Regions from separate parts of the Mus musculus genome. Here all the other regions are reported to be linked to region 1. Evidence: microRNA targets listed by miRTarBase, many of them from high-throughput screens and not tested one by one. Region 1 holds a microRNA gene; each other region holds the end of a gene's coding sequence. Distances are from middle to middle.

Region 1 (4,000 bases):
ACATTTTCTTTCATTTCTTTTTCTTTTTAAAACTGAGATAGAATATGGCCTGGAACGCCTGCGTAGTCCAACTGGCCTCAAAACCCCGAGTGCAGGTATTACAGGGTACAGCACCATACTTGGCATGTTTTTATCTTGTTGTTGTTGGTCTTGTTTTTAAATATATGACATAAACAAGTATTATCACAAGATCCTCATGGATTACGGCTGGCTAGAGTACTGGTTAGCTCACCTGGTTCCTGTCCCGAGCATTTGTGTACCTGATCTTCTGAATGAAGTAGAATATGAGCCACGCTGAAGAAATAATCATCAAAACAATAAAGGAGATTGACACGAAGACTAGAGAGCCACGGCTGAAGTTCTTTGGCGGCATTCGAGTTCCAACAGCTATTGTCATTTGTACAGAGATGTTTTTCTCCAGATAACTCAAAATATCCTTACCCCTCAATTCTGTTATCATGACAGCAATAATATCTCCCGTGCCTGTAATGTAAAACAAATACACAGACTAAAGTGACATCTGAAATTCATAGACACATCAAATAAATATACACATATGCTCCATAGAGAAATTACCATAATTTTCACTAAGGTTTATAGATTCCAGTTCAACTGACATGAGGCTGCAGCTGTGTAAACTGACAGGCATGAGAACATGTACAGTGCTCCAAACAGGTAACGCATAAAGCAACTGTGGTGTTAACAATGCACAAACTGCCTTACCGGTGCATTAGAAGCACTGTGAAAGCAGCCACCTGTGACTAAATCAGGTTAAGTCTTCAGTAGAAAACCTTTCTATAGCAATCAATCTGGAAAGTTCTGACAGAGAAGCACTGTCATTTACAGTCTGAACAGGTGGTCCTTGCACTACTCATCCTCACACGCACTGCTGAGCAAGGACTGCTCTAAGAAACAGAAAGAAGGGTACTTCTTAGGGCACACACTTGGCTATGGAGTGACAAGTGCCGAACGGCAACATCTTTTACCAACAACCTTTGAAACTAACTTTGGTCTTCTGTCTACAGTAAAGCTCCTTCCAGGGCACTTCTGGAGCTCAAACGCAACAATTTTCCCACCCAGTTTGGAGCCAGCATCTCACATTGCCTCGGCTAGCCTCAGACTTGAGTTTTATGTTAGTTTTCCACCTTGTTTAACCATGCCCAGCGCACTCAAATCCTCTAGGCAGGCCCAAGTTTCAACTTTCTGGACTACTACCCATAATGATACCTAAAACCTTCAGTTCCTAAAAGCTGTTCAGAGTTCTGCCCACAGGCACAACTTTTATAAGTTAATTACAAGGATGGTTCAGTTGTGTTTTCAAGTCCTTTTCTCACATGGCTTCAAGGGCCTGTTTTAAGTCAGAGTGAGCAGCTACTCACCAAGGTCACTTTTGTGAGTATGAAGGAGGATTGTGCATCCAAACACAAAATACCCTCTCAAAACAGCAAGCAGAGACCCCAGACCTGACCTTTTGAAGGCTCTGTCAACAAATATTAGAAACACTTGTTTTGATTTCTTGTTACCTTTAGCAGTCAAGATGAGACACAACAGAAACTCAGTAACAGAAGTTTTGAAAAAAATATAGCTCAATGGAATATATATTTGCATAATACTGTATTCAAAACGGTTTATTCACTTTATTAGAGTAGTAGTTTACCAGTTTATTTTTGCTTAAAAAATCTATAAACAAAAAGGAGACAACAAAATTAAAACTAGCATTATTAAGTTAACATCTGCCTCTGGTGAGTGAGTTAAAAAGAATCATAAAAGAATGCTAAACCAGTTTAAATTTCCATTTAGAAACCTTAAGTTTGTGCTTTTACAATGTTGATCAACAGGCATGATCTGTGGTGTTAAGATACCAGGTATGGCTATAAAGTAACTGAGACGGATCCCACAAACGACATATGACAATCAGTCTCATTGCTTTATAATCACACCAAGTACAATTGGTTTTAGAAATCAGTTCTGAGGCTCCCTCTTGAAGACTCAAGCTGGAAGTGGGGAGAGCTGCACAGGTAGCCAAGGCAACCAATCCAGTAATTTCCTTAACCGAACACTAAATGGGCGCGTCAACTAATCTCAACAGGAAGCTGTTTGGGAAAGAAAAATTTAATTAGTTCAACACTTGTCAATATTCACTGTTAGGAGGACAAGAGTGAATAGATCTCACTGTAGCTTTATCATCCTAGCAAAAAGAGGAGACTGGGCAATGTTGCCAAAGGAGACTGAAAATGATCAAATAAAAAAGTACAGCAGCACATCTGATATTAGTGAAGGCAGTGATCTCTTACAGAAGGTGATGAAGCAAACTACAAACCCTCCTAGGAAAAAAGTTTCTTTCTCCCCAACATCTAGAGCTGGGCTGGGTTCAAAGAGCCTAACAAGATGGCTCAGACATTTACAAATGGGGATGGGACTAAAGAGATGGCTAAGAGCACTGGTTGATCTTGCAGAGGACGAGGTTTGGTTCCCAGCATCAATATGGCAGCTCATAACTACTGTAACTCCAATTCTAGAGGGAACAGACACTCTCTTCTGGCCTTCGAGGGCTCTGTACACATGGTGCACATAGACTCATGCAGGTATACACACACACACACACACACACACACACACAATAAAAAAGTAAATAAACCTTAAAAACAAAACAAAAAACTCTTGGGAGAGTTGGTGCAGATTCAGGAGGGATGATGACAACAGAGGAAACTTAACCCTCAGGATAAAACTAGGATTAGAGTAGCAGTAGCTGGTAGGAGAGAGGGGTTAATTAGACTGAAGTAATGGAAACATTAAACAGATACAAAGAATGTGACCAGATCACCCCTATGCCTGTGTTCTGAAACACCAAGACATGGCTTTGGAGTTCAACAATCATGCAGCTATGTGTTCCTTTTCTACTGCTGTGGTTAAACATCATAGCCAACATAACGTATACAAGGAGGGGCTTGTTTGGCTTATAGTTCCATCATGGTGGGGAAGAATGGCAGCAAACTGTAGGTAGGAACTGGATGCCAAGAACTCACACCTTTTTAAAAACACTGTTAATTTCAATTATGTGTTTATGTGTGTAGCTTTGTGCATGCAAGTTATAGTTGCCTGTGGAGACCAGGAGTCACAGACCCCCTGGAAGGGGGGATACGGGCAGTTGTGAGAGACCTGTTGTGGGTGCTGGGAATTGAACTCAGGTTCTCTCCATGAGCAGAAGAATGCCCTGGAAACCTCTGAGTCATCTCTCCAGTCTCACATCTTGAACCATAAGCACTAAGCTGAGAGAACAGCAGTAAATTTTGGGAATCTTTAAACTTTCAAAGCTGGACTCTACTAATACACTCCTCTTCCAACAAGGCCACACCTCCAACACATCCCCAAATGATACCATGCACCTGAGACCAAGTGTTCAAATACGGGCACCTATGGAAGATTTTCTCACTCACACCACCATAGCTAGTATTAATTCTTAGAGATGGCAGTGAAATAAAGAATATTATGAGTATTATTATAATCCCAGCACTCTGGAGGCAGAGGCAGGTAGATCTCTGTGAGTTGGAGGCTAGCCTGGTCTATAGAGCGAGTTCCAGGACAGTCAGGGCCACACAGAGAAACCGTGTCTTGAAAAACAACAACAACAAAAAGTTATTACTTAACCTCATGTTTATATGTATATGCGTGTGTATCTACCTGTCACTGACTCCCTGGAACTGGTGTTACAGGTGACTGTGAACTGTCCCATATGAGTTCTGAGAACCGAACTCTTTGAGAGAACAGTAAGCACTCACAACTACTGGACCATCTTGCTAGCCTGCCAATTTATTCTTTAATAGGAATTTATGTTGTTTTAGTAACTTAGCATGGCTACTTAAATTTGCAATTCTTCCCTGTAATTCTTCCCTTTTTATTCTGAGAATTTTCTTTTCTTTTTTTCTTCATAATTTACTTATTTTTATTCTATGTGTATTGGTATTATGCCTGCATATACAGACGTTCGTGTGTGAGAGTG
Region 2 (4,081 bases), not on the chromosome of region 1:
GTGGGGATACTTTTATTAGGGCTTTTAAAAATAGTATGGAGGCTTGCATTTATTTTGCAGTTTCCTTTTTAAAATCATTTGTTGCTTCTGGGCTGAGATTAATTTCTATAATGTGGGGTTTGTAATTTATAGTTATTTTTAGAATTTAGTAAAAAATTACAAAGCTAATAGATATTAAAGTTTGATGCTGTTCTTATTGTATGTTTTTCTTGAATAGGTATTGAGAAATGGAAGCCCTTACCAGCCCAATTGTATGTTTTTCTTGAATAGGTATTGATAAATGGAAGCGCTTACCAGCCCAGCTTTGCCAGCCCTAATAAGAAGCATGCTAAAGCCACAGCAGCAACTGTGGTTCTTCAAGCAATGGGCCTTGTACCAAAGGACCTCATGGCTAATGCCACTTGCTTCAGGAGTGCCTCACGTAGATAGATTGAGGTTTTATATTAATCATTCAGATAATTTTACTCTGCATCACAATGTATTTCCTCCTTAATGTTGTAAATATTTCACAATTTAAGACATTGTGTAAAAAGCAATCTGTACAAACATCTCCAGGCTTTCGTTTTTGTACCATGGAAATTGTATTTAACCATACAGGGTTTTGGTATGTTTATATTGTTTACCTTAGTGATGTATTTGTTTAAGTGGCTAACATCCAAACAATTGTTTGAGGGCATCAGTAATATTCAGTGTGGAATGTTAAATAACGCTTTTATACTGTATTTTGTACTATGATGTAACTTCCCTTCCTTACGGCTAGGCTGCTGTAACACTTGCCTGTAATCAGTGAAGGGCTGTGCACCTTGTACTATTTCACAATGGGTTCTGCTGGACAGATACTGGGCCAGTGTTATTAAGGCAATGAAGCAAGATCTGTTCCACAGGGCTATGCCACCATCTCCCCCTTTTTGTAGAGATTATGAAAAGAAAGTGATACATTGTGTCATGATCAGTACTAAGTCCTGCATTCCCATTAAAGCCACTTGACTTGGGTCATAAGAAGGAAGTCAAAATGGAAGTCCAACTTCAGAGGCCAAGTACATATTAGTATGGCTTCAGTTGTGATATAGTTTTACTTTGATGTGCATTTTGAATTTCAGCTACACCTAGATAGACGTAAATAAAAATGCTGTAACCGACTTATCTAATAAAAATTGGCACCCAGCCGCTATTTTGTTGACTGAGGAAGTTTATGTTAATTTTTTAGGGTCTGATAGAATATTCATGTGTATTACAGTGGTATTCATATGCTATGTCTCTAAACTTTATTTTCAAAAGCTTAAGGCCCAAATACAAACTTCTCTGGAATAAATGTTGTGTCTTATTCTCTGGCTTTTATGGAACACATATAACTAAGCACTATTTGTTTCTTACCCAATTCTTGTGATTTCTATGCACGTTTATTTAAAAATACTGAATTTTATACACACATGCAAACACAGATTACCTGTAAGCATACTAAGTAGTAAGTTGACATGGCTGAGGGCCCAGCACTTAGATGAAGTACAAAGTAGCCTCCCCTCTGACTTGACACAGAAGATGAACATACGTGAGAGCAGAGGAACTAGAAATCATTAGTAAAAATGCTCATTTCCCTACGTCTTGAAAGAACTCACTGCTCGTCTAAGGTACAATGTGGATGCTTTAGTCTCCATTGGAATAATTGCTACAGGTAGTCTGTTTCTCAATTGTAATAAAACACTGACTTTTCTACTCAGGTTAACAATAAGTTGCAGGGATAGAACTCTTATTTGAATTATCTGAGGTATTAAGGAAGCTCCTTGCATCTTCATCTCTGAAAATGTATGAAAATAATAAAAGCAAAATCTTGATTTAAAACCTAATGCTATTGCATGTAATAAGTTAATATAAAAATGTTTAGGAACATTTCAGTATTTTAAAATATATTCTTCCGAATGAACTTTAAAAGCCAGGGGCCTACGCATCTTGCATTTCCTTGCTAGGAAGCTTTTTCCTCAGACTCCTTTTAGGCTTACTTTGGTGTTCAGGATCTCCAACTTAAAATGTAGTCACTCATTTCCACACTCCGCAGGGATGACTTCCCCAGCACTGGCCTCTGACTGAGCTGCTCCAGGGTTTTAGGATGCAGCCCACAATTAGCAAGGTCCTCACGAGCAACTTTCTGGGAAAACACAAGTCCACATCCATAAAGCACATTAGTTCTTGAACTCCGAGGTTTTGTTGTTTTTAAAAGATTTATACAAGTACACCAGAGCTGTCTTCAAACACACCAGAAGAGGGCGTCAGATCCCATTACAGATGGTTATGAACCACCATGTAGTTGCTGGGAATTGAACTCGGGACCTCTGGAAGAGCAGCAGTCAGTGTTCTTAACTGCTGACCCATCTCTCTTGCTTGGTTCACCAAGTTTTTAATAATCCCCATAAAGACTTGCCAATAAATGGCTCAGTCAATCATAGCTAGAAGATAATCCTAATAATTTCTGTAGTATGAAAATCCTAAATTAACTAGTCTATTAGGCTTGATAAATACTGTGCCAATTAAAGGACTGTAAACTATCTTTAAAAAGTCTAAAAAAGGGCTGGTGAGATGGCTCAGTGGGTAAGAGCATCCAACTGCTCTTCCGAAGGTCCAGAGTTCAAATCCCAGCAACCACATGGTGGCTCACAACCATCCGTAACAAGATCTGACTCCCTCTTCTGGTGTGTCTGAAGACAGCTACAGTGTATTTACATATAATAAATAAATCTTTAAAAAAAAAAAGTCTAAAAAGACAATCCAAAATAAATTAGTAACTAAGGCTTGAAGATGGTTTAGTGTTAAAACACTTGCTGTACAAGTGTGATAACCAGAGTTGGAGGCTATCTAGAATGCCCAAGAATGCTGGGCAGACATGGTTTGCACTTGTAATTAGTCTGAAGGTGGCACACAGAGACCAGCTAGCAAGATTAGCCACGTTCAGACATTCAGGTCTTGAGGAAAAGACTACACTGATGACTGAGGTAGAAGAGCAGCTCCGTGTGAGCTCGCTCAATCCCGGGTGCTCTTAAACACATGCAGAACTGCAAGTTATGTACACAGACATGAGAAACGGGAAAAATAGCTGGGGTAAATCATGTTTCCATAAACTACAAAGGAATCAGGAATTCATATTTAGCATTTCCTAAATTCATGAAATTTATCTTATGCCCATGTGGATATTAATTTGTAACTTGTTTTCAAACGATATAAATTTGGCACAAGTGACATTTACCCCAGCAAGAGGATATAGGGTATGACTGGTCTACTTACTCTGTCCAGTTCTTTATCCAGAGACAGGCCAACATTGAAAACTGCAGTTGGCTCGTGTGCATACAGTCCTGCAGAGAAGGACCCTCTCTGTGAAGATCGGAGTAGCATGCTCATAGAATGCAATGCATGAGGCATGACAGGCCCTGTGATATCCAAACTAAACTTATCTCTGTATCCAGAAAGAGCTTGTGTCTTTACATTACTGCTCCGTGCCTTCAGAACATTTAAAAAAAAGTCATGTGGTACAGAAAATTAGTAAAAGGGATTTGATATAACTCATGTCACCTAGCTCTCAAGCAAAACCAAAACTCCTGGGAATGCGACTTGGTCAAGCTGCTTGTCTAGTAGGCCTCCTCCCCCACGCAGTCTCAGTGCCGACACACAGCCCAAAGTATGCAACAACAGTTTACAATTATGAAAACTTGTTTATATGCTATCATATATATACACACACACATTTTTTGAGATCGGGTCTTACTATGTAGGCCTTGCTGTTCCTTAACTCACTGAGATCTGCTTGCCTCTGCCTCCCGTGTGCTGGATTTTGTATTTTCTCAAATGCATGCACACCCAGTTGTGCCTGTTACCCGTGGGGTAAGAAGGCATCAGAATCCTTGGCACTTGAGTTACCAATGGCTGTGACCACCACGTGGGTGCAGGGAACTGAATTTGGGTCTTCTGCAAGAGCAGCCAGTTCTCATATTTAAATACTGAGCCATCTCCCGAGTCCCTAGAATTATTTTTTAAAAATTGAGAATTTGAGCTAGGAATGGTGGCACACGCTTTTAATCCCAGCACTCAGGAGGCA
Region 3 (4,081 bases), not on the chromosome of region 1:
AATTGTGTTTGTCACTGCCTCAAACAATCGCTGGCTTGGAAGCCACAGGAGATTACCCATTGCCATCCCTACCTCCCACCCACAGGGTAGCCCAATCCTAATTCAGCAGGGAGACAGAACAACAGAGTTGCAGTGAGAGAAGTGTAAACAGGAGAGGTCATCTGGGTCTCCCACAACCACCTTCTCCCCAACCACCACAAGGAACAATGGTACAGGAAGCTGGGGGTTGCTGCTCTCAGGCAGTTACGCAAACCAAGTTGGCACCCAGCAAGGCTTTTGTTCAGAGATTTTTTTTTTTTTAAGAGTCAACCCTCTTCAAAACAATTCAGTGTTTTCTCCCTTGGGAAAGCATGTGGCTGTTTTCAGTGAGATCATTCTAAAGAGGCAGATTCTGAGCCCATCCGCTGGGCTAGGACCACCATGCTAGTGAGTGGCTAGCAACTTGCTCAATGGGAGCATGAATGGACTAAGGACTCCATATATTAAAAAAAAAATCCCAACTTAAAATAGTCTTCTAGACCTCATTTTTAATAGAGTCCCTGTCCATTCAGAGACTCTCATAAATAACCCCACAATTAATGGCATGTATTTATCTGCAAAGCCACTTACTTGAAATATACAGGGGTTGAGTTCTCTCTGGGCATTAAGTTTGTTTATGAGAAAAAAACTTTGATCCAAGAATAAAAATAGAGCAGTGGGATTCAAGTAAATTTACCCTGCTCTCTCCAGGAGTCTAGGTTTAACCCATCTTTGGATGAGTTCAATCTCAGGTGACAGAAATCTATCTTCACAAGCAGCTCACAATTAACTGTTGTTCCCTTCAGTGACACTCTGGGGAGATAAGCAAGGCTCTCATAAGTGGACCCTTTTGTTGGGTTTATTCTTGTGTGGGTTACTATCCAGAACACACGGTGTAATTCCTACCTACTCAGGTCAGTATGCAGAAATCTTAAGTCAGGTCTCATCACATCCTACATGAGACTTCTCAGTTATTCTCCAGTGCACAGGGAACGGGATCAAGACACCTTGTATCAGAACTCCTTTGGAACCTGGCCTGTTCCCTGCCTACCTAGATGCCACTGTGTACGTTCAGGGGCATCCTTTTCAGATTGTCATAAGCCTTCAGATCTGAGACTTTTCCTACCATCTGTAGTTCTTTCCAGTCTCTGTTTTCCTGGAGGCCACTTCTTCTCATCCTCCTAATCTAAACTAGAATGTTCTCTCCGAGGTCATTTCCTTTCCACAGCCTTGACACTCACTCCCCTTGCAAGTGTGCCACTTTAACACCTTAAATAGTATCTTCCACTCACTTAAAAAATAAGTTTTATGGGGTCAGGAACCATGTAGGTTTTTATTCACTGTTTTATCCCTACTGACCTGTGTAAGTGCTGGATAAGATGTTTATTACCAAACGACCAAATACAGAATGGATGAAGAACCGAATTCATGCTCATTTCTGCACTACTGGTTCTCTATTCCAAACTCCAAGACCACTTACCACTCACACCTCATCCTCGCCCAGTCCATAAAAATCTTCCCCAGCCTTCCTGTTTGTGAAGGAAGGCATACAACACAAGGCATACCACGTAGCAGAGACATGCCTGCAACCATGAGTACCCAATAAACAGAGGCTAACTAAATTTGGTAAGCGCACAGACACTTCTTCCTTCCAAGGTAGACTTGGAGCCCTGCTTCTCAGATGTCACTGTTCCTCTATCATCTCTGAATGTTCACACACTCCTGGCATCAGCTTTTGATGTCATGTTGGTTTTCCTCACTTGACACGGTTCCTTCCTTTTTTCTTAAATTAGTGCAATTTAAAGGAATATTTATAAAAATTGAAAAACTCATTTCATCTACTGAAGGTCCAGTTGTGATTATCACAACAGTGATAGATTTAAACAGAAATAGATTTAAAAGGACCAATTGTGATGACCACCACAGGGGAAATAAAGCCATATGCTTCTATTTAATTAAAAAAAAAAATAAGACCAGCAGTTGTTGGCAATGTGACAGTATTATTGTCGATGTTAACAAGACAACTTCATCTTTCTCCACGATTTGATTAACAATATTTAATGACCTCTTGGCTTTGCTCATCAACTATGTACCGTACATAGTTGATGTATATCTATGTGGTTGTACAGTACCATAACTATGTGCTTTGAAATAACCCACAACCCATCCATGCTCTTCTGACATTGCATGGTGACCTTATGCCCTTGGCAATTCTCTGCCTTGGTCGGTTGCCTACACATGTTTACATCTAGAACTCAATTCAACTTACTTTTTTCTCTTTACATTCTCTATAATTGCTGGGTGAGTTTGTTTGTTTGTTTGTTTGTTTATTTATTTATTTATTTTATATGAGTGTTCTGCCTTCACACACATCAGAAGAAGGAACCAGATCCCATTGCAGATAGCTGTGAGCCACCGTGTGGGTGCTGGGAATTGGACTCAGGACGGCTGGAAGAGCAGTCAGTGCTCTTAACGGAGAGTCATTGCTCTAGCCCCTAGGTGGATGTTTTGAATAGAATATATGATTAATAAAGTTTTTATTCTTGTAGGTCTGGGAGTTGAACACTGTCTTGCACATGTTCCATCAACTACATCCTTAACTCCATAAAACAATTGAGGTTGAATCTACTATGGAGAATTTTGAACTGAATCAATCAAGAGACCTTTTTTTTTTTTTTTTTCAAAGTTGAAATATCTTACTAAACAATTATGTTTTCCCCGGCCCTGGTTTGTTTTAACTCTGCCCTTCTGACTTCCCGTATGCATGTACCTATACCATCATCTAGTCAAATATCAAGGAAGCAGCTGGGAAGAGGACCCAATGCAAGAGAATCGGGGCCCTCTTGCGCATGCACACACCTGAGGGAAAGCTCCAGATCTGCAAAAGAAACAAAGGCCAGACAGAACCAGGGAAAATCTGAATGTGTGATTTATTATATTTAAGATTGGTCTATAAGGCTTAAATATGTCTGTCAAAGTTAACCGCAGATGAATGCACCTTTACAAAATCAGTCTTTCAATACAGAACAGGACTACACGTGGTGACTGGGCACTGGGAACCTAGTATTTCCTCAATGCACATATTCAACTGGCAGCACCATGTAGAAGCTTCTACTTGGATCACGAGCTTCAGTGTTCACTATAAACTCTGCTCAGAACACAACTCTGTCTACATCAAGAATTAAAGGAGAAAAACAGCACAGTCATTCAGGCTTAATATGTCAGATTTGGTACAGGATTAAAATACTAAGTGGTTTTTTTTTTTCATTTGTTTCTTTGTTTGTTTATGTCCTGGTTTCAAATTAATAAATACAAACACCATATAAAAATATACACCAGTTGCTAAGACTACACTGCCCAGGCCCAGGAAGTTAAATCTCGCTCTCATATGTATGCAGGTATGTCTTGAGGGTCAGAATTTCCGAATAGCTACGGCTAGTCTTCCGGTAGAAATCCAAACCGGTGAGATGCTCGATGTCCCTCACCCGAGCTGTGTGCATCTTCATGAGTTCCTCTACCCACTTCGACTCATCCTCGGAACTCTGCAAGGGAAGGGAAGCAATCAGGTTTTTCTAGACAAGGTTAGACTAGGTCATTTTCTGCACACACACCCAAGCATATTGTTCCCACCAGACCCTCGTATCTCTACTGAATTCTGTCAGGAATGTACCACAAATACCCCTCCTTGCCTGTAGACATTCTCACAGTGATAAAGTGTACCAAACAAATGAGAAATGTAGTGTGAAAAGGTGTTCTTCTCACTGGTTTCTCAGAACACAAATCAAAATGGGGAAAAAAATCATTGACCCTCAGAATCTGATCTGGTTGCTTTTCTTCTCAGCCATCAAATGAAGGATTGGATTCAGCACACCCTGGAATGCTCTTCTATCTCACAAAATAGGCAGAGACCTAGTGCCTAGCATAGGAAACTACATGTGTATTCCTGTTCAGAAGAGCTATCACACCCATCAGTTATCTGGGAGATAGTCAGTGACTATCTGATAATGAATGTTCAGCTTGAAACAGGTCAGTTGATACACTGGGCTCTCTGCGGCCCAAAAGG
Region 4 (4,081 bases), not on the chromosome of region 1:
AATGGTAACTATTGAGAAGTTCCTTTTGATAAGACGTTATTGTTTATTTACACCCAGTACTCTCACTTTAGGGCTAACATTTAATGTCCTCAAAGTAAAGGAACTTGAAGCTTACCTGCCTGTAAGAATGAGGGTCTCCCAAAAATCTTTACAAATACTGTTTCTGCTGTTCCATTAGAGCTGCAGTTAGGTAGCCCTGTGACTGCAGAGTAAGGATGGGAGGACCTTGGCGTATAGCTGTGAAGTAGGAACTGTGACACAGTGCTGTCTCTGGAACTGAGCCTCCTTTTCTTCCTACCAAGAAAGGAGGGCACCACATGAAATTTCCTGAAACTTAGTGCAGTGTTTCTCTGATTTACTGATTGCTTAAGTACTTAATGAAGGGCTGTCTTGTGGGTTTACAATAGATGAGTGGGAGGTTTCTATTCTGTCCTAGGACCATATTGGAGTAATATACTTAAGCTGCAGAATGATAGGGAGAAAGGTTCTAATTAGCTGAGTTTCCTTCATCAGCTACCGGTGTGCATCTTCCCATCGGGTGTAATGTCTGTTGTGTAATTTGTTTATAGGCAAGAACTAGTTGCAGAATTGGACCAGGATGAAAAGGACCAGCAAAATACATCTCGTCTGGTACAGGAACATAAAAAGCTTTTAGATGAAAACAAAAGCCTTTCTACTTATTACCAGCAATGCAAAAAACAACTAGAGGTCATCAGAAGCCAACAGCAGAAACGACAAGGCACTTCATGATTCTCTGGGACCGTTACGTTTTAAAATATGCAAAGACCTTTTTTTAAGAGAAGACAAACCATTATAACAGTTCATGAGTGTTAGCTTTTTGGCGTGTTCTGAATGCCAAATGCCTCTCTTTGCTGCATTTGTTATGTCAGTTACCTTTCTTCTTATGGTGGATATAAAATCCACTGTCGTGTTGCAGCAGATGATGGCACCTGTGGCTTGGGAAGGCGAGCGTGCTCAGCTTCAGAGCACATGAAGTGAACCTGGCTGTATGTGCATGCTCCTGGAGTGAGCTACCTAACAGGAGGGGGTAGCACACTGGCTACTGTGTGCAGGCATCATCCTTTCTCTGTAGTAAAAGGTGGGACCTCAAGAATTTTCTTCAAAGTGCTCATCTCAAAAATCTGATTTTTTTCCCAGTAGATGGTATGCTCCAATGTAAAGACAGGGTATTAAAATAACTTGTGGTACATTACAGAGGGACAGAATGTTGAGGCTGAGTTCAAAGACAGGGTTTGTGCCAACACATCCTGGATCAATACTAACTGTAGTCCCACCTGTTACTATTAAAGGTGAGTGGTGGCAGCTGTGCTTAAGGAGAGCAAGTTTACTGACTTTCGTGAGGTTGAGCATCGTCTGTGAAATATGAATGACATGCTCTTTTTACACCCTATGGATTTTCAATTCTGTGTGAAAACAGAAGCCTTTCTGACTTTTAATATTAGTAGCAGATGAAATTGAAAGATGATGATGTAGCTTAAATGATCCTTCTTGTAACCATTACTGAGTTGTTTTATGATATATTTGAAGAAAATTGAAAAATAATAGAGACACAAATCATTGGCCCAGCTAAAGGAGGCTTGAGCTGAGCTATCGGTCTGTTATACCAAATAAGGAACACAGCAGGCTAATCAGGAGGCCCGAGTAAGGAAGGCAAAGGAGGAAAATTAAACCCACTTTCGTAGCTACTCAGAGGACTTGATTCCTCTGAAGTCCTTTCCTGAGTCTGTTGCCTTCCCATGCTTTTAAGAGAATTTGAACACTTACAAAGAGAATATTTATATTGTTAACAATAAGTTTACTACCAACCTTCAAAATAACTTAAAGGTAATAATAAAATGCCATTAAAAAAATAAATCCCTAAGATCTATTTTTTCAGTCCATGTTAACACATTTTGATACCAGTGCATGAATGTCTTTTAAATTAGATGCCATCAGCTTCGCTTTTATAGTGTTCATGTTTGTAAAGAGAACATTTGGAATGGAAAGATGATCGCTGTGGTACTTAGATGTACATCTCGCATGTTCCTGCTCTGTTCCAGATGAGCACGAGAAGCTAGCGAAGGTGTTCTTTAAGGCTAAGACAGATAACCTTTTTCCTGTTATTTTTTTCCTCTCTGAGTTTTATAATGAATCCCTTCTGTATACAGTGAAGGTAAGGGAGAGTTTATAGCAAGATGTGCCTTCCTCAAAACCTGTTAGTAGAAAGCTCCTGGGAGCTAAATGTCTTCTTTCACTTAAATAAAAAAGATTATAGATAGCCTCAAACTCTATTAGGTGACATGAGTGCCGAGCTCAGCGTTAGTAGTGACATAAAACTGACACAGAAGATAGCTGTAGTCTGAGTCCAAGACCAACACCGCCTGCCACTGCTGCCTGTGCAGACATCTGGCACTCCACAGGAGAGCCATGGTCTCTGCTGTGCAGCATGCTGAAAGCATCTTGACTTCCCAGGAGATTCCACATTACATGGATGCAAGCTCATTTCTAGCCAGTTGTTTTGCAAGGTCTGCATCCTACAACTAAAAGGAAATTTTGTTGTCCTGGTCACTTGAAAGTATTCAAACAAGCAAATGGAAGAAAACACTGGATTTGCTCATGGTACCAGTGTTGAAAGATTGTTACTCGGTTGCTTGTGTATGCTCAGCTCCTTGGGGTTTCCGACACTGTGGTCCTGGACAGCCTTAAGTAGGTGCACTGGCACACTCACATGCATTTTTAAAGCTCCACTATCGCTGAACGTGAGCACACCATCCATACTTGAAATCCATACCAGTTTGCTCAATGTCTCAACCTGTAAAACCTTCAAATAACAACATACCAAGGAGCCAGATGGTCACTAATTCCTGTTCTACAATTTATTCAAGCCTCACTTCTTGGGTGAAGTAGAAAACAGGCAGACAGGTTTATACATTGATGTCCAAGAACCAGACAGTCCTGCACAGACACTAGTGGCATTTTGTTTCCATTTCCAGGAAAGGAAGCAAGGTTGTGCAATGTGGAGTGAAGTCCTCCTCAGCAGTAAAGCCATGCTCTAGGTTGAGTAAGTCAGTTAAGAGCACCATACTGCCATACTGAAAACATCTGCTTAGAGTTATTTACAAGTGGTTGGCTATTTTTTGTTGAAGTATTTTTTGAATAGCGAATGTCTTTTTCCTTCAAATTTCTGTCATTCTCCCAAGGCCCCCTCCTCCTGCAGCCAGAGATTACAGGTGGTTTTGTTTCTCCCTCCTTCCCTGTGTGTGTGTGTGTGTGTGTGTGTGTGTGTGTGTGTGTGTGTGTGTGTGTAGTCAACTCCTCTATTCACAAGCTAGTAAAGCTATCTACTTTTATTCCTGTCCAGGTATTTCTTGTAAGATGATATAATGCAGAAATTCTTGTGCATACTCTGTAACTGAAGGAGGCTTTTTTGATTTATTTTTGTCTTTAATAAAATTCAGATTGTTATTTCAGGCTGGTATGTAGGAATGGTAGCTGGCTTCTCTACACGACGACTGAGCTGTGGGTTTGCCCAGTGGTATTTACCTCATGCAGACCAATAGCTGAATCACCAGTTTCCTAGCATACTCAGTACAGTGTACCATAGTCATGCCAGAGACTGAATCATCGGACTGAGAGTCGGCTTAGCAGTTAAGAGCACTCATGTGGAGGACTAGGGTTCTGTTCCCAGCACCCGCATGGAGACTCCCAACTCTCTGCAACTCCAGTTCCGGGGTGGTCTGACTCCTTATGTTCCTGATGGTTCTTGTAAGCACATGGTGCATATATACTCAGACGAGCGTGCGCGCGCGCACACACACACACACACACACACACACACGTGAGAAAAAAAAAGTCCTCTTTATTTTTTCATGGGCCTTCATTTTTATGGAGTACAGCATAAAAGTGACTGACTTATCATTGCAAACTTCTTAATGTTTTTTCTAAGCTACAGTAACCATTTTGCTTTTATATCAAGTAACCCCCCCCCCCGCTTATAGATAACCACATATTTTTACTATCTATCCATTAGTTTCCTCGTTGCTTCAGTATTGATAAGCTACTGTTACTAATGACAAGTTCA
Region 5 (4,081 bases), not on the chromosome of region 1:
AAGAAAGAGTTATTTGTGCTTGATACATTGAAGACACTGTTCAAAAGCATTTTTTTTTTTGTCCTTATAAAAGGATGACCCCTGTAGTATTTCTTAGGCAAGGAGGGACAAAATTCAACCAACAAAAAGCATATTTCGCCCCAAGTTCCCCATGATTTCTCCACATATAGCAAAAAAATACACATCAGTTATTCGTTGGAACATGCACATTGGAGAGCAGTACAGTTCTGGGCTGCTCAGGAAACAAAAGGGAAGGGATCAGCATTACCTAAATAAAAGAGAGGTGACTTACACCCTTTCCATTGTCTTAAAAACACCAAGAAGAGGAGCAATTAAAATAGAGTCCTAAAGAGTGCTAGCTAATGTAGATTACATAAGTATACAATATGATTCTACTAACAGTGCTCTGAGAAGCATGAGCCAGCCACCAGTCTAGTAAACAGGGCCCTGATCCACTGCTGAGAAAATATTAGCTCCCAATGTAAGAAGTTACTTGAATGTATCTCAGTACTGAACGCAAACCAGGTGGTTTGGGTGGGCGGTGTTCTATAAAAGGCGGCTGTATTAAAGCAAGGAGGCCATTTCCTGTTGCGTGTTCTATACTTTTGGAATTCTCTGTTGGGCGTTTGCTTTCTCTACTTCCCCCCCCCTCCCCTGAGCACTAATTATCAAAAAAGATTTCAAGGTGCAAGTTGTACATTCTCATCGCAATAGCATCTCATCTCTTTCCGGAAGAGAGGATTACAGTCAGGTTCACAATGCTAATTCCTTATCTCTTCCCGTTTGCTTCGTGTACGCGTACTTCAAAATCATAGTGTTGATTAGGAAAAGAGACCTACAAACGAGAGCACGATGCAATCATCCACTTCTTATTGTGCTGTGTCTTTTCCATCCCGTCTCCCCTTTCCCTGTAAAGAGCTGTAAAAAATTTAAGGCAGATGAGGTATATTGCTGAAGGAAAAAGTTATTTCTTGAAAAGAAAACCCAAAAAAACCACTTTTATTCTGCCCTTCTACTCAAGAAAGACTACTCAACTATAAATCTATTACTAGAAAAAGCAGGAAAGACTCTGTCTGCATGTACCATACTGCGTCTTCTATTTCTAGAATGGCTTTTTTGTTAATTTAATTTTTAATAGAAAAAATAAGCACCTTAAGCTATGAACAAGAAAAGAACTTCATTATTAGTGAGTCCGGAATCCAAACGGAATTAGAGAACACTCGCTCAAGCTCGCACTCATTCGCACAAAGGCCAACGCTACTGATTAGAATTGTAAAGTGCTATACTGAGGTTAAACACTTTTGTATACACTGCAGACACTGAAAAATAACCCTCAAGCACATTGTGTTATAGTTCCAAAAATATATTTACAGTCTATTACAAAGATTACAAATGGAAGTGTCTAGGGTGACTGGATTATGCTAATTAAAACTATTTTTACAGATTATTTTTTTTCCTAAGGGACAAAAAACATTTTAGAGAAATTAAAATGAGTTTTCTACTCAATCAAAAAATAAATTAAAATATCAAATAACACTGTACAGTGATAAAAAGGAAAAAGAAGGATAGGGCGGGGCTTGGGACGCAATCCATTTGAGTTTTCTATAGCCATCTTTGGTCCTAAATGTGGGAAAACACAATAAGTAGCACTGAAAATACCTGTTTCTTTGTGAAGCTCTGCAAGTAAAATAGAAAAATATAGAGCATTTTCATGTCCTCGGAGCCACGACTGAGAAATGTGTATACAAAACAAGACGGTATAAATAAAATTTACAAGTTTTACAAAGGAACATTTACAGATTTTGCTTGTTACCTGTTCTTGTTTGTTTGTTTGTTTGTTTGATTGTTTGTGGATGTCCACATGACCAAACAACACCAATTAGGACCGATCCCTGGGATCTTTCTCTAGTAAAATCATTATAAACAGCCCAATTTTCTTTGGAAGTACAACAGTTCAGTTTTGGGGTAGTTCATGATTTTTGTAACTTTTGAAAACATTACTCAAATATGTATACATTCCTGAAATAGCTATAAAGACACATTTAATTATTGCTTATGAAATTCAAACACAGTAACCAAATAATATGGTCTGATAAATAAAGTGGAAACAGAAAAGCCAGACCCTTTACTTCTTCCTTCTGGGGTAAAAGAGTTTTGACCTAAAAGGGTTTGTGTGTGTGTGTGTGTGTGTGTGTGTGTGTGTGTGTGTGTCACTGTTCATAGATAAAATACCTCTGTGTTGCTTTCTTCTCACTGCATTGGTGGAAATATTTGCGGCTAGTTTGTCTGTGAGTGGTGAGAAGAGAATGGCCCCTGTGATCTTGCTTCAGAGTAACAATAGAAAACTGAATTCCTTACTTTTGTATTTGGACTGCATTCAACAAGAAAGAATACAAAATATAGGTCAACTATGTTCCTAAATTTCTTACTGTCACAAGACTGAAGCTCTTGATGTGCTCGGATTGGGTTAGCCAAAGCTGGAGAGCTTCGCTTCCAGTCTTGCTTTCACCAGCATCTTCAGACGAAGCTCAGCCTTTTATCATATACACATAAACCTAAAATTTGACATCTCTCTTTTTTTTTTATTAAATTCTGCCTAGTAAATCACTCTATAAACAATCTGTTAAAAGTGCCTTATAGTATTTATGGATCATTATTGCTTTCTTTTTTTTTTTTTTTTTCATTGAAAAGTTAGTATGTTGTCTGATTTTTACAAAGAAAAAAAAATCCTGTTAAAAAATATCAGAGCTCTTGGCAACTTGCAATTTTGAACTACCTGCCAATCAGCAAACAATATGAAAACATCACTGGTTTAACAAAATGACACAGCCAGGATACCAAAGCCATGAAGGACAAAGTCCCATCCTCGACTATGTGCGTAGTTTTGCTTTCCTTTAAGTTTGAGAGTCTTCAAAGGTACCCAGTGTAGTAACGTGTCATAAATTTAACACTAAAAAGGTCCAAAGCTACAAATAACTTTCTAAAACAAAGTCCTTAAGCAGAATAAACACAGATGGTTCTGGAAAAGAATAGTCTGAAATCACATATTTTAAGGAAAATATTTCATTGATTTTAACAATAAGATCATGATTTTTATTTGACAAATATATTCTTTCTTAAATTCTTTATGTACATTTTTAAAAAGTCTATAAGATAAAAAGGAGGTTCGAGAGCTCAAGGTGTTGGGATGTTTTTCAGGTAGTACTTTGTTTATTGTCTCTGCTGTGTTCCTGGCCACCAGTGGTGGATCCTAAATTCCCTTTTTGTATATTCTGGTGGCACTTAGGAGTTCAAGTCTGGAGGTGCTTCTAAAATCTTCTCTTTCTTGTAGGAAGGACCCAGTATATCAACTGTCTTCTAGCAGCATTCTATGCGTATACTGAAGGCCAGAACTGTTCTCCTGCAGTCTTAAGCCTCATCTGAGGGAGGCCGATGTGTCACACTTGGATGCCTGTTCCGTGTAAATGCAACATTTGTGCCCGCATAGTCTGGATGCTGCTCATGATCTTCTTTTGATGGCCAACCAGTGTGATCCCTAAACTCATCACATCACTGAAAAAGACAAGGGCACGCTTATCAGATCCATGACAAAGAACAGAACGTGCTCTGCGTGCTTCTTCACAGTCACTCACGCTTTCTACTACCTGTTGGCTGACGCACACTAACAGTACTCTTGGGTGCTATACAGTCTTACTCTAAAGAAGATGCTGACGTATTTGGACAGTCTCATTTGAAAATACTGGATGAACAAGTCTGTCTCGTAGTTTACCATACTGTTGCTTTTTAACTCATCCTAAGATTTTATTTTAAAAGGCAATGGAATGTTACCTGAAACACTGGGCATTGTAAATTATATAATTGGAAACATGGGATATTGTAATAGTGAAAATTGTTTTGGGAACCCAGGAGAAAGTTCAGGAAGTCAGTGTCACACAGAAATGTCCAGTGAGCTGGATTCTGGGAGTAATTCTGAGCATGAATTAGTAGAGATATAATTGCATTCCTTCAATTGAATAGCAAGAAGAAAACTGCTACATATATGTACAATGCTAGAGTCAAAGCTTAAATGTGCAGTGAGTTA
Region 6 (4,081 bases), not on the chromosome of region 1:
GGACCCAGTACCTATATTCCAATCTCATTTATTCTCTATATCTATTATCTATTCTCATCTATAGTTATAGAACATAAGCAAGGGAGCAAATAAATCGATGTAGATAATCCAAGATGTATTTTTGAACTGTTATGCATTATAACTGACGTATTTCGCTGACTGGCTCATAAACCTACTTTACAGATGAATATTAGAATAAACAGCAGGGTGGGAAGGGTGAAGAGAAAGCAGCTTGTGTAATCAGCTGTTACCCAGGGCCTTGTAAGAGAAACTGGCTCTACCTGCCAGCCCCTACCAGGCTCCTGGAGAGGCCAACATGGCAGGAATTGCAGTAACTGAAGAATGATCTGACCCAGAATTGAGACAAGGGCAGCCTTCCTGTAAGGGCAGGATTTAGTTTAGAAAGCCCCTGGCTTGCTGTGAGCTGTCCTGGCAAAAAGGTTGTGACCGGCCAAGCCTTGTGATCCACTGAACACATCCAATTTTGTGGCCTCTGGCTCCCCCTGCAGAAAGCGGGTGGCTACAAGCAGAACCCCTGTCTCCCCAGGTGCTGATTCTCCTGTACATCGCAGACTGGATGGTGCACTGGATGTGGGGCCGGGGCCTGGACCCCGACAACTTCTCCATCCCATACTTGACTGCTTTGGGGGACCTGCTTGGCACCGGACTCCTGGCACTCAGCTTCCATGTGCTCTGGCTCATTGGGGACAGAGACACAGATGTTGGGGACTAGCTTAGCCATTCAGTCTTTCCCCCACCCCTCTGCACTTTCTATTTGGATTTTTATTTTCCTTTTGTTTCCCTACCCCACCCTACACTACACTCCCATGCCTTTCTGGGATTTCACTTTGATACCAAATTCTCATTATTTTCAATGGGAATTTTTTATACATTGAGCCAAGTTTGGATAGGAAGAATTCGGGACAGACAGATGGGCTGACATAAGCAGTAAAAGTAGACTTTTGAGACAATCACCAAGTGCAATTCCACGGTGGGTGCCTCCAGAGGAGGTTAGATCGGGACCTTGGCATCCTGTCCAGCATCGGGGACCTTTGCATTAGCTTTAGCGACCTCAGCCTCGGCCCTAATGAGAAACTCTCAAGTGGGCTCTGGGTTGTTTAGGGTTTGGCTGAACAGAGGGAGGAGGGATAATTAACACTCCCACACATGCACGCACTTTTATAGATGTGGACCAACTTCACAGCACTGGGCAGGGGAACGTTGCTTCAACTCCTCGTAATCACAGGCCTGCTCCAGGCCAGCCTGCCCGCAGAGTCACGTGCACTGGAGATTCCATCTGCGCACATGTGCCTTGCCCAACTGCCTGATTGCTTCCCAGCTGAAATGAGTGGTAGTGACCCGGGCTCTTCACGGATCCATGTCATCCACAGGTTTCCAAAGGTCCATGTGCCCCCTGAGTCTAGAGAACCGAGTTCAAGCCTCCTCTCTTTAATTCTCTCCACACACTCCGTCTCCGCGCAGCTTGCCAGATGGGCTTCTAAGATTGGGGATAGGACAAGGGAATGTGCCAAATGACCTGGAGATTGAGGCAACGGGGAGGGGTGGGGGGTGTCTCACTGCCGTCTCTCATGACATAATCACGTGGTCAGTCTTGGCCTCTGTCACTTCCTAAACACACTCATTCTATCACACGAGGGCTCCGTTGGCCTTTCTCTCGGCTTCTGCCCACAGACATGCATCAACCATTCACTCATTCAGCAAATCTCAGCCTCCCCGAGATGAGCCCTTCCACAGCACCGGCCTGCAATAATTCTTCACTGAGCAGTCGTTACGGGGCGCATACTGTGCTAAGTTCAGTGCCTGGCATCAACCCACCAGTGCTAAGGGAATCGCTGCTCTAACCTCACCTCATCCCCTAGGCTACAGAGGCCATTGTGCCTCTTCAACCTGACAGTAAATGTTCCCTCGTTCGCCCCTAACTCTGCAGTGACTGCCAACCCCGTTGCTCAAGCAGCAGCATGTCCTCCAATACCCTCCTCCCGCAGCCTCTCTCCTCTCCACATCTTGCTACCCACTCAGAAGAGGGCTTGGAATTAGCAAGCTGGATATCAATAGGCTGCTTCAGTATCTGCCTCGTCCATGATTCAAAGAAAACCAAAGTCCCTTCCCTACACATGCCCCAAACTGTTCAACAAATGGGGTGCAGGCTGTACTTCTGGCCTGTCTGTCTGGAATCCATAAATTCTTCCCCCTGTGTAGCCTAAAGGGTCAGCCTCCAAGAAAAGGATTAAGCAGTGCTCCGTGTCTACCAACACTGTGCTTAGACCTAGAGACTCTTCTCGGCCTCATTTCCTCTGTCATCACCTGAAATCAGAACTGTCGAATTGGACAGATTCATAGAGATTGTCTAGTTGGGGTTGTGTCAGGCAGATCAGTGTGGATCTGAGTTTATTTCTGCTCTTCCCTCTGGCCTAACTCCATCTCAAAACACAAGACTCTTGCACAGGCATCATACCCTAAGACTGTGACCCCAGGGTCCCCAGCCACTTGCTCTATCCTGACATCTGGAGTTGGATCAGGCTGTCTGGAGACTGAAGCATCCTTCTTCCTTTGCCTAGAAAACAGAAAGGTAGGGGCGCCCAGGCTCAGCGCATGTGAGTGGAGGGGCCTGGAGTGACAGGAGAGTGACTTCAGGAGATTCATTTCTTCCCACCGGGTTGCACCTATTGCATGTACTTTTGGCCTGACTGGAAGAAACAAAATTGGTTTACTTTCATATCCTTCAAAAGTTACAGAACTGTGTCTTAAGAGAATTATTTATAGTTACTATAACTGAATTGACAAATGTCGACTTAACTGATAAATTATATTTGGTAAAATAAAATGGAAGTTTATTTCAATGGCTTGTATCCCTGTGTGTCTCATCAAAAAGCAGACTCAGCTATTTCCTTGGACCCTGTTCTGTGGTCCCGCCCCCACCTCAGAAATGGGAAGGGGTCGATGTGCCAAAAGTGAGGAACCATCTTAGAATATAATAGAAAACACATCAGACACAAGCAATGATGCTATGGGGCGGATGTTAAGGGTACAAAGTCCTTGTGTTAAAGGATATTAGACGGTGCTCTCCCCTCCCTGGCCCCCATGCATTACCTTGGTGCAGGTGATACCAGCATCTATGGGTTAGAATTCCTTCCTTGCAGAGGTTTATAGCTGAGTTGAGTCAGTGTAGAAATGCTTTTACCTTGAGTATTTACCATGTAACTGGCTGCAAAAGAATTGTACAATTTTATATGACCTTCCATGAATCATTAGCCCTTTCCTAACCTGAATTATACCCTGTTTATAGGGTAAGTGTAAGATGAGGCTCCAGTGATACATGCATACATACATACATTTATGCATACATACATACATACATACATACAATTCTGTTCCTGGTACATACTAAGCCCAAAAATACTATGAAATATTAAAAGTAGATTATGTTATTCAACCTTCCATTGCTGTAACAAAACACCAGAAATGCCTTATAAAAAGAGGAGGGGGCTGGAGACGTGGCTCAGGGGTTAAGACGCTTTGCTTTGCTGCTATTGTAGGGGATAACAGTGTGGTCCTCAGCACCCACATCAGGCAGCTTCCAACCTGATGCTCTGTTCTAGCCTCCATGGACACCTGCGCAGACAGGGGAGGTGCACATGCATGCACACACATGCGCATGCATACACACACTTTAAAAAATAGTTTTCAGTGCCTGGTTAATAGGCCCCACTGTTTCTCACTTGTGATGTAGATGTTGCCAAGGAACCCAGGGTAGGGCAGGTCGTACCTCGTGGCAGCCAGTAAATAGACAAGGGGGAATTTTGTTCCACAGCCCACTACAAAGCATATAGCTCCATGATCTAAAACAACCTCTTAGGCTCCACCTGTTAAATTTCCAGTACTTTCCAGTAGTGTCTAGCTGAGGGTCAAGTCTAATACATGGGCTTTTTAGGTAGACATCCCCTATCTAAACCCTATCAGTGGGAACAGTGCAGGCCTATGATGAGCAGTGTCCAGACACCACAGGGGAAGCTGAGAAAGGCCTCATGAATGGGGTTCATGGAAGCCTGACTTCCTCAGG
Region 7 (4,081 bases), 18 Mb from region 1:
ACACTCGTATATCAGATAGTTGGAAACGCCTAAGTCAATCCCTTATAAACAGAGGACATTTATAGCCTAAGCACACTAAGAGGCAGCAACACTCATTTAATACACCTTCACTCTGAGTGCTAAAACTAGCGATATTTTATGATTATCATATATATATATATACTATGATAATGCAGATAAATACATAAGGAAATACATATTAATGTTAGGAACCAATAACTTTACTAAAAAAAACAAATACATATATAAAACAAAGGACATGAAATTGTCATTATCTGTGGACAATGGCCCAGACAGCCACTGGGGACCTGATGTCATGCTACCAAGAGCAGTGTCGTATGGCCATCAAGCCTATGTGTCTGGTCTTACCTCAGTACCAACAGTAGGTATATTTCCTCTCCTCTGAAGATGGTGATGGTATAATCTTGGGGAAGGTCTACTGTGGCCAGGTGCAGGAGAAGAGTCCCCTGTGGGGTACTTGATGGAACTGAAGTCCCTGCACAGGCCATCAGCGTCCCCGTGGGTGCCAGCAGCCCACCCGGCTACTCCTGACTCTTATCTCTTTCTTCCCCAGCACAAGCGCTGTATCCCGGCCTCGCTGGATGCTTACTACTCGTCCCAGGACCCCAGCTCCAGGAGCCGCTTCTACACAGTCATCAGCCACTACAGTGTGGCCAAGCAGAGCACTGCCCGGGCCATCGGGCCATGGCTGTCAGCAGCTGCTGTCATCCATGAGCCCAAGCCACCCAAGACGCAGGGCCATTAGAGGTCTGCCCCAGCTGGGATGGGGGTGGGTGGGTGGAGAGGGAAACCCCCCTCCCCACTAGTTAAGCAAGGCTGGAGCTACAAGACAATACTGTACTGCTAGGGTACGGGGTGGGGGCGGGGCAGGATGGGGTCTGGGGAGCACTCCCCAAAAATATTGTGCACTGGAGTTGTCTGAATCGATCTTTCCTTTTGTTCTTTTGTATTGTTGCTTCGTACCCAAGTCAGGCTCGTGTACAAAGGCATGTTTCGCGTTGATTGTTCCCATGTAAGATATTTTCAAAGCCGCCGCTTATTCTTTGTTAGGATAATTTAGAGACAGAAAGGGGAGCCGGATAAAATGAATTTAAAAAGCATGAAACGGGCTCCACGTGGAAGACACAGCAGGGCAGTAAAGAGCAGAGTCTGTCTGGGACTTCTTAGATAAGGCCCCATGGCTTCTGTGTGGGCGTCCGAGTACTGCGTGGCGAAGGGTGGGCTGTTCAGTTTGCCTGTGGTCTGCAGGAGAGAAGCACAGCGATGGCAGGCAAGGCTGATTTGGAGAGGAAGGTGATGTTGGCATTTCTCAACTAGGAATGCACAGAGTACCACTCAATGGTGAGCTTGCAAGATTTGCACAAACTCATGGGGGAGGCATCCACGCTCAGCCCTGGGCAGCCCATGGGGACCTAGGCTCCGATGCTCACAGGGCGGCTGTTGTGCCTCAGCAAACACAGGCGTGGATAGATGTTGTCTTTCTTTTGTTTTTCTAGGTGTATCCCTAGATGCTGCCCGTGTTTTCAAGATGGCAGGGGTGGGAAGGGAGAGAAAGGAAGAGAGGTCAGGCGGGCCGCTCTGGACCCAGCTAAAAGCATAGGCACCCGGTTTCACCCGGGTTTTGCTTTTTCCCCAAAGCGCTAATGACAGCAGGAATGACAATTGAATTCTAGTTAGTTGAAATCTGACAGCCGGGAAGAAACTTGAAGATTGGGCAGGCAGTGCTCATTCCTAAAAGAAGCTGGAGAAGGTGACTGTTTGCTCACTGTGTTGTGTTGACAGAGTTGTCCAGACTTCCCAGCTAGGTTCTAGAAGCACCTGACAGGGAGGTGTGGCCAACATCCTTAGGCTTCTCACTGGCACTTTAGCAAGGGCCTCCTGCTTCTCGCGAGCATTCCAGGAAATCCCTTTTCTTGGAGGTGCTGGCCCCAGGTCCAAGAGAATGAGAACTGGCCAGGGGAATTGCCCATTTGGTCTGCATAGGCCGTTTAAGGGTATTTTTTTGTGGCTTGCTATATTGCTGAAATTATTGTACACAGCAGCTGGGTAATAGGAATAGTATATCTCAAACCATCCTGCCAGATACTCTCATCTGATTTCTCCTCCCTCCCCCCATCTTCCCATCACCTTGAGTCACCTGTAAATTCATTTGTCATCTGAAACGGATCAACAAATCTTCCCTAGCAAAACCACAGAGCGCTTTATAATTTTGTGGTGTATTTTTGTCAGTAGGTAGCAGAGGCTGAAGTATTTTTTGGTGTAATTCTTGAAATTTTCTGACAGGAAAAAAAAATAAACATAGATGTGTCTGAGTGTCCTGACTGTCTGTCCATCTGTCCTTGACGGCTTGACCTTCTGCTCAGTGAACCTCATGGGAATGCTAGGGGCACAGGAGGTGGGATTGGTAAGTCCAGGAGCAGAGTGCCCTATGACGTGGGAGGAGAAACTGGGATAGTGTGTGTGGGGGGGGGTCTCTATCTTAAAGTAAGTATAGCCTGATACACTGCTAAAGTCCTGGCACGATGCGGAGCCCTGGGCAAGATCCTGAAGCCCTACAAAATCTTAAGGACTACTCATGATCCTGAGAATGTCACGTGACACCAGAGCCTCATGTGGTAAAGAGGTCAAGATATGCCACTAAGGAGCTAATAGGATGCCGAAGGACCCTATGATATGATATATGAAGTATCATGATATGACATGAAGTATGTTATACCAAGAGGCCTGCAATGCTGAGGTTATGATATGCTGCTGCTGTTATGATTGATTCAGAAGGCCTGACATAATACCGTGGGCATTACATGATGCTGAGCATTTGATAAGATGCTGAGATCCTCATGGTGCAGAAGGTCTGACAGACAGGATGCTAACTAAGGGCCTTACATAATGCTGGCCCTGCGTCATGGTCCTGACATCATAGCAAGGCACTGACATGCCGGTTAAGGGACCACCATGGTGACCCTGTATTTTACTACCTGATCACATATTGTGGTTCTCAGCTGGTGCTGAGCACCTGCATATGATATTCAGTTTCTAAAATGCTGCTTGCAGGCCTGCCTTGATGCTGAGTGGCATGTGACATTGAGGTCCCAACATGATGCTGAAGTCACAGCGCTATTCTGAAGTCCTCGTAGGATATTAAAACAAGGTCCTGACATGGCGCTGAGCTCTAAACATGACAATATTGAATGTCTAACATGACACAGAGGTCCAGACATGACAGAGAAGACATAACATGATACTGGAGATCCATTCATGATGCAGGTACTGACAAGATGTCAAGGTCTGGACACAAGGCTGAAGACCTCCTCTGATGCTGACCCCCCTGCCATGACACTTAGGGCATGGTATGCTAAATAGGCTCTGACATGACATTAGACTCGTGCTATTTTTCTGAGGGCATTACATGAGGCTGAGGACCTAATGTAATCCGAGTGACAGACACAATGCTGAGGTTCTGGTGGTGATAGATGAATCCTGTGGTTCTGATAGATGAATCTGGTACTGACATGACATGAGATGTTCGTGAGGTGACATGAGATGTTACATGATACTGAAGAAATAGCAGATGCAGAGGGAATGAATAATGTTGGTTTCATTCCATAATGCTCAGGAACTCATGTGATAATGCAGATGCTGAGGTCAGGACTTGTTGCTAAGGATCTGACAATGTGCTCACATCCAGAAATGTTGCTGAGGTCCCATCCTAGTGAGGACATCTTGTGATGCTTAGGACCTCACATGATGCAGAGATAATGGCATAATTATGAGGTCCTGGCCTGATTCAGATTGCCTGATATATTGCTAAGGTCTCACATAATGCCAAGGCCCTGTCACGATACTCAGGTTTGACATGATATCACAGACGTCCTGACATGGTTTGGAGGATATGACATGAACCCAAGATTCTAACATGAACTGAGGTCCCTCGTGATGTGGAGGGCATGAAGTGGTCCTGAGGTCCTGACCTTACTGAATGCCTGGTGTGATTCTGCCATGATGCTTGCCATGATGCTAAGGGCTGGGTGCTGATGTGATCCTGAAGGCTTGAAGGCTGAGT

The links. Region 1 holds the annotated microRNA mmu-miR-340-5p (UUAUAAAGCAAUGAGACUGAUU, at 1,913-1,934, opposite strand). A microRNA usually pairs through its seed, bases 2 to 8, with sites in the 3' UTR of a target mRNA and lowers its output. Matches are read on the target gene's strand: a 7mer-m8 pairs with bases 2 to 8, a 7mer-A1 pairs with bases 2 to 7 and ends in A, and an 8mer does both.
Region 2: the mRNA of Son is a reported target of mmu-miR-340-5p. The part of its 3' UTR that is shown has no 7-base or 8-base seed match.
Region 3: the mRNA of Enpp2 is a reported target of mmu-miR-340-5p. The part of its 3' UTR that is shown has no 7-base or 8-base seed match.
Region 4: the mRNA of Map3k7 is a reported target of mmu-miR-340-5p. Seed matches in the 3' UTR shown: 7mer-A1 at 2,142-2,148.
Region 5: the mRNA of Epha7 is a reported target of mmu-miR-340-5p. Seed matches in the 3' UTR shown: 7mer-m8 at 2,030-2,036, 7mer-A1 at 1,918-1,924 and 7mer-A1 at 65-71.
Region 6: miRTarBase lists Slc41a1 as a target of mmu-miR-340-5p. The part of its 3' UTR that is shown has no 7-base or 8-base seed match.
Region 7: miRTarBase lists Nsg2 as a target of mmu-miR-340-5p. Seed matches in the 3' UTR shown: 8mer at 2,221-2,228.

What each region holds. Positions count from the first base shown.
Region 1 is chr11:50,067,654-50,071,653 of GRCm38, reverse strand. It overlaps Mir340 (microRNA 340), which reads right to left and starts at 1,952; the gene lies at 1,855-1,952. It overlaps Rnf130 (ring finger protein 130), which reads right to left. Exons shown (of 9, transcript NM_021540.4): 3 at 233-483.
Region 2 is chr16:91,677,884-91,681,964 of GRCm38, forward strand. It overlaps Son (Son DNA binding protein), which reads left to right. Exons shown (of 12, transcript NM_178880.4): 12 at 218-1,309. The coding sequence ends at 277. Donson (downstream neighbor of SON) reads right to left here. Exons shown (of 10, transcript NM_021720.1): 9 at 3,274-3,486; 10 at 1,382-2,143. The coding sequence ends at 2,006. Among named protein-coding and RNA genes, the nearest start is that of Donson, 8.8 kb to the right of the region's middle.
Region 3 is chr15:54,835,977-54,840,057 of GRCm38, forward strand. Enpp2 (ectonucleotide pyrophosphatase/phosphodiesterase 2) reads right to left here. Exons shown (of 25, transcript NM_015744.4): 25 at 2,925-3,560. The coding sequence ends at 3,390. Among named protein-coding and RNA genes, the nearest start is that of Enpp2, 82 kb to the right of the region's middle.
Region 4 is chr4:32,018,932-32,023,012 of GRCm38, forward strand. Map3k7 (mitogen-activated protein kinase kinase kinase 7) reads left to right here. Exons shown (of 16, transcript NM_172688.3): 16 at 570-4,081. The coding sequence ends at 750. Among named protein-coding and RNA genes, the nearest start is that of Map3k7, 57 kb to the left of the region's middle.
Region 5 is chr4:28,963,360-28,967,440 of GRCm38, reverse strand. Epha7 (Eph receptor A7) reads right to left here. Exons shown (of 17, transcript NM_010141.4): 17 at 1-3,552. The coding sequence ends at 3,438. Among named protein-coding and RNA genes, the nearest start is that of Gm11917, 100 kb to the left of the region's middle.
Region 6 is chr1:131,846,003-131,850,083 of GRCm38, forward strand. It overlaps Slc41a1 (solute carrier family 41, member 1), which reads left to right. Exons shown (of 11, transcript NM_173865.3): 11 at 548-2,861. The coding sequence ends at 733. Among named protein-coding and RNA genes, the nearest start is that of Rab29, 19 kb to the right of the region's middle.
Region 7 is chr11:32,056,869-32,060,949 of GRCm38, forward strand. Nsg2 (neuron specific gene family member 2) reads left to right here. Exons shown (of 5, transcript NM_008741.4): 5 at 575-2,343. The coding sequence ends at 766. Among named protein-coding and RNA genes, the nearest start is that of Gm12108, 42 kb to the right of the region's middle.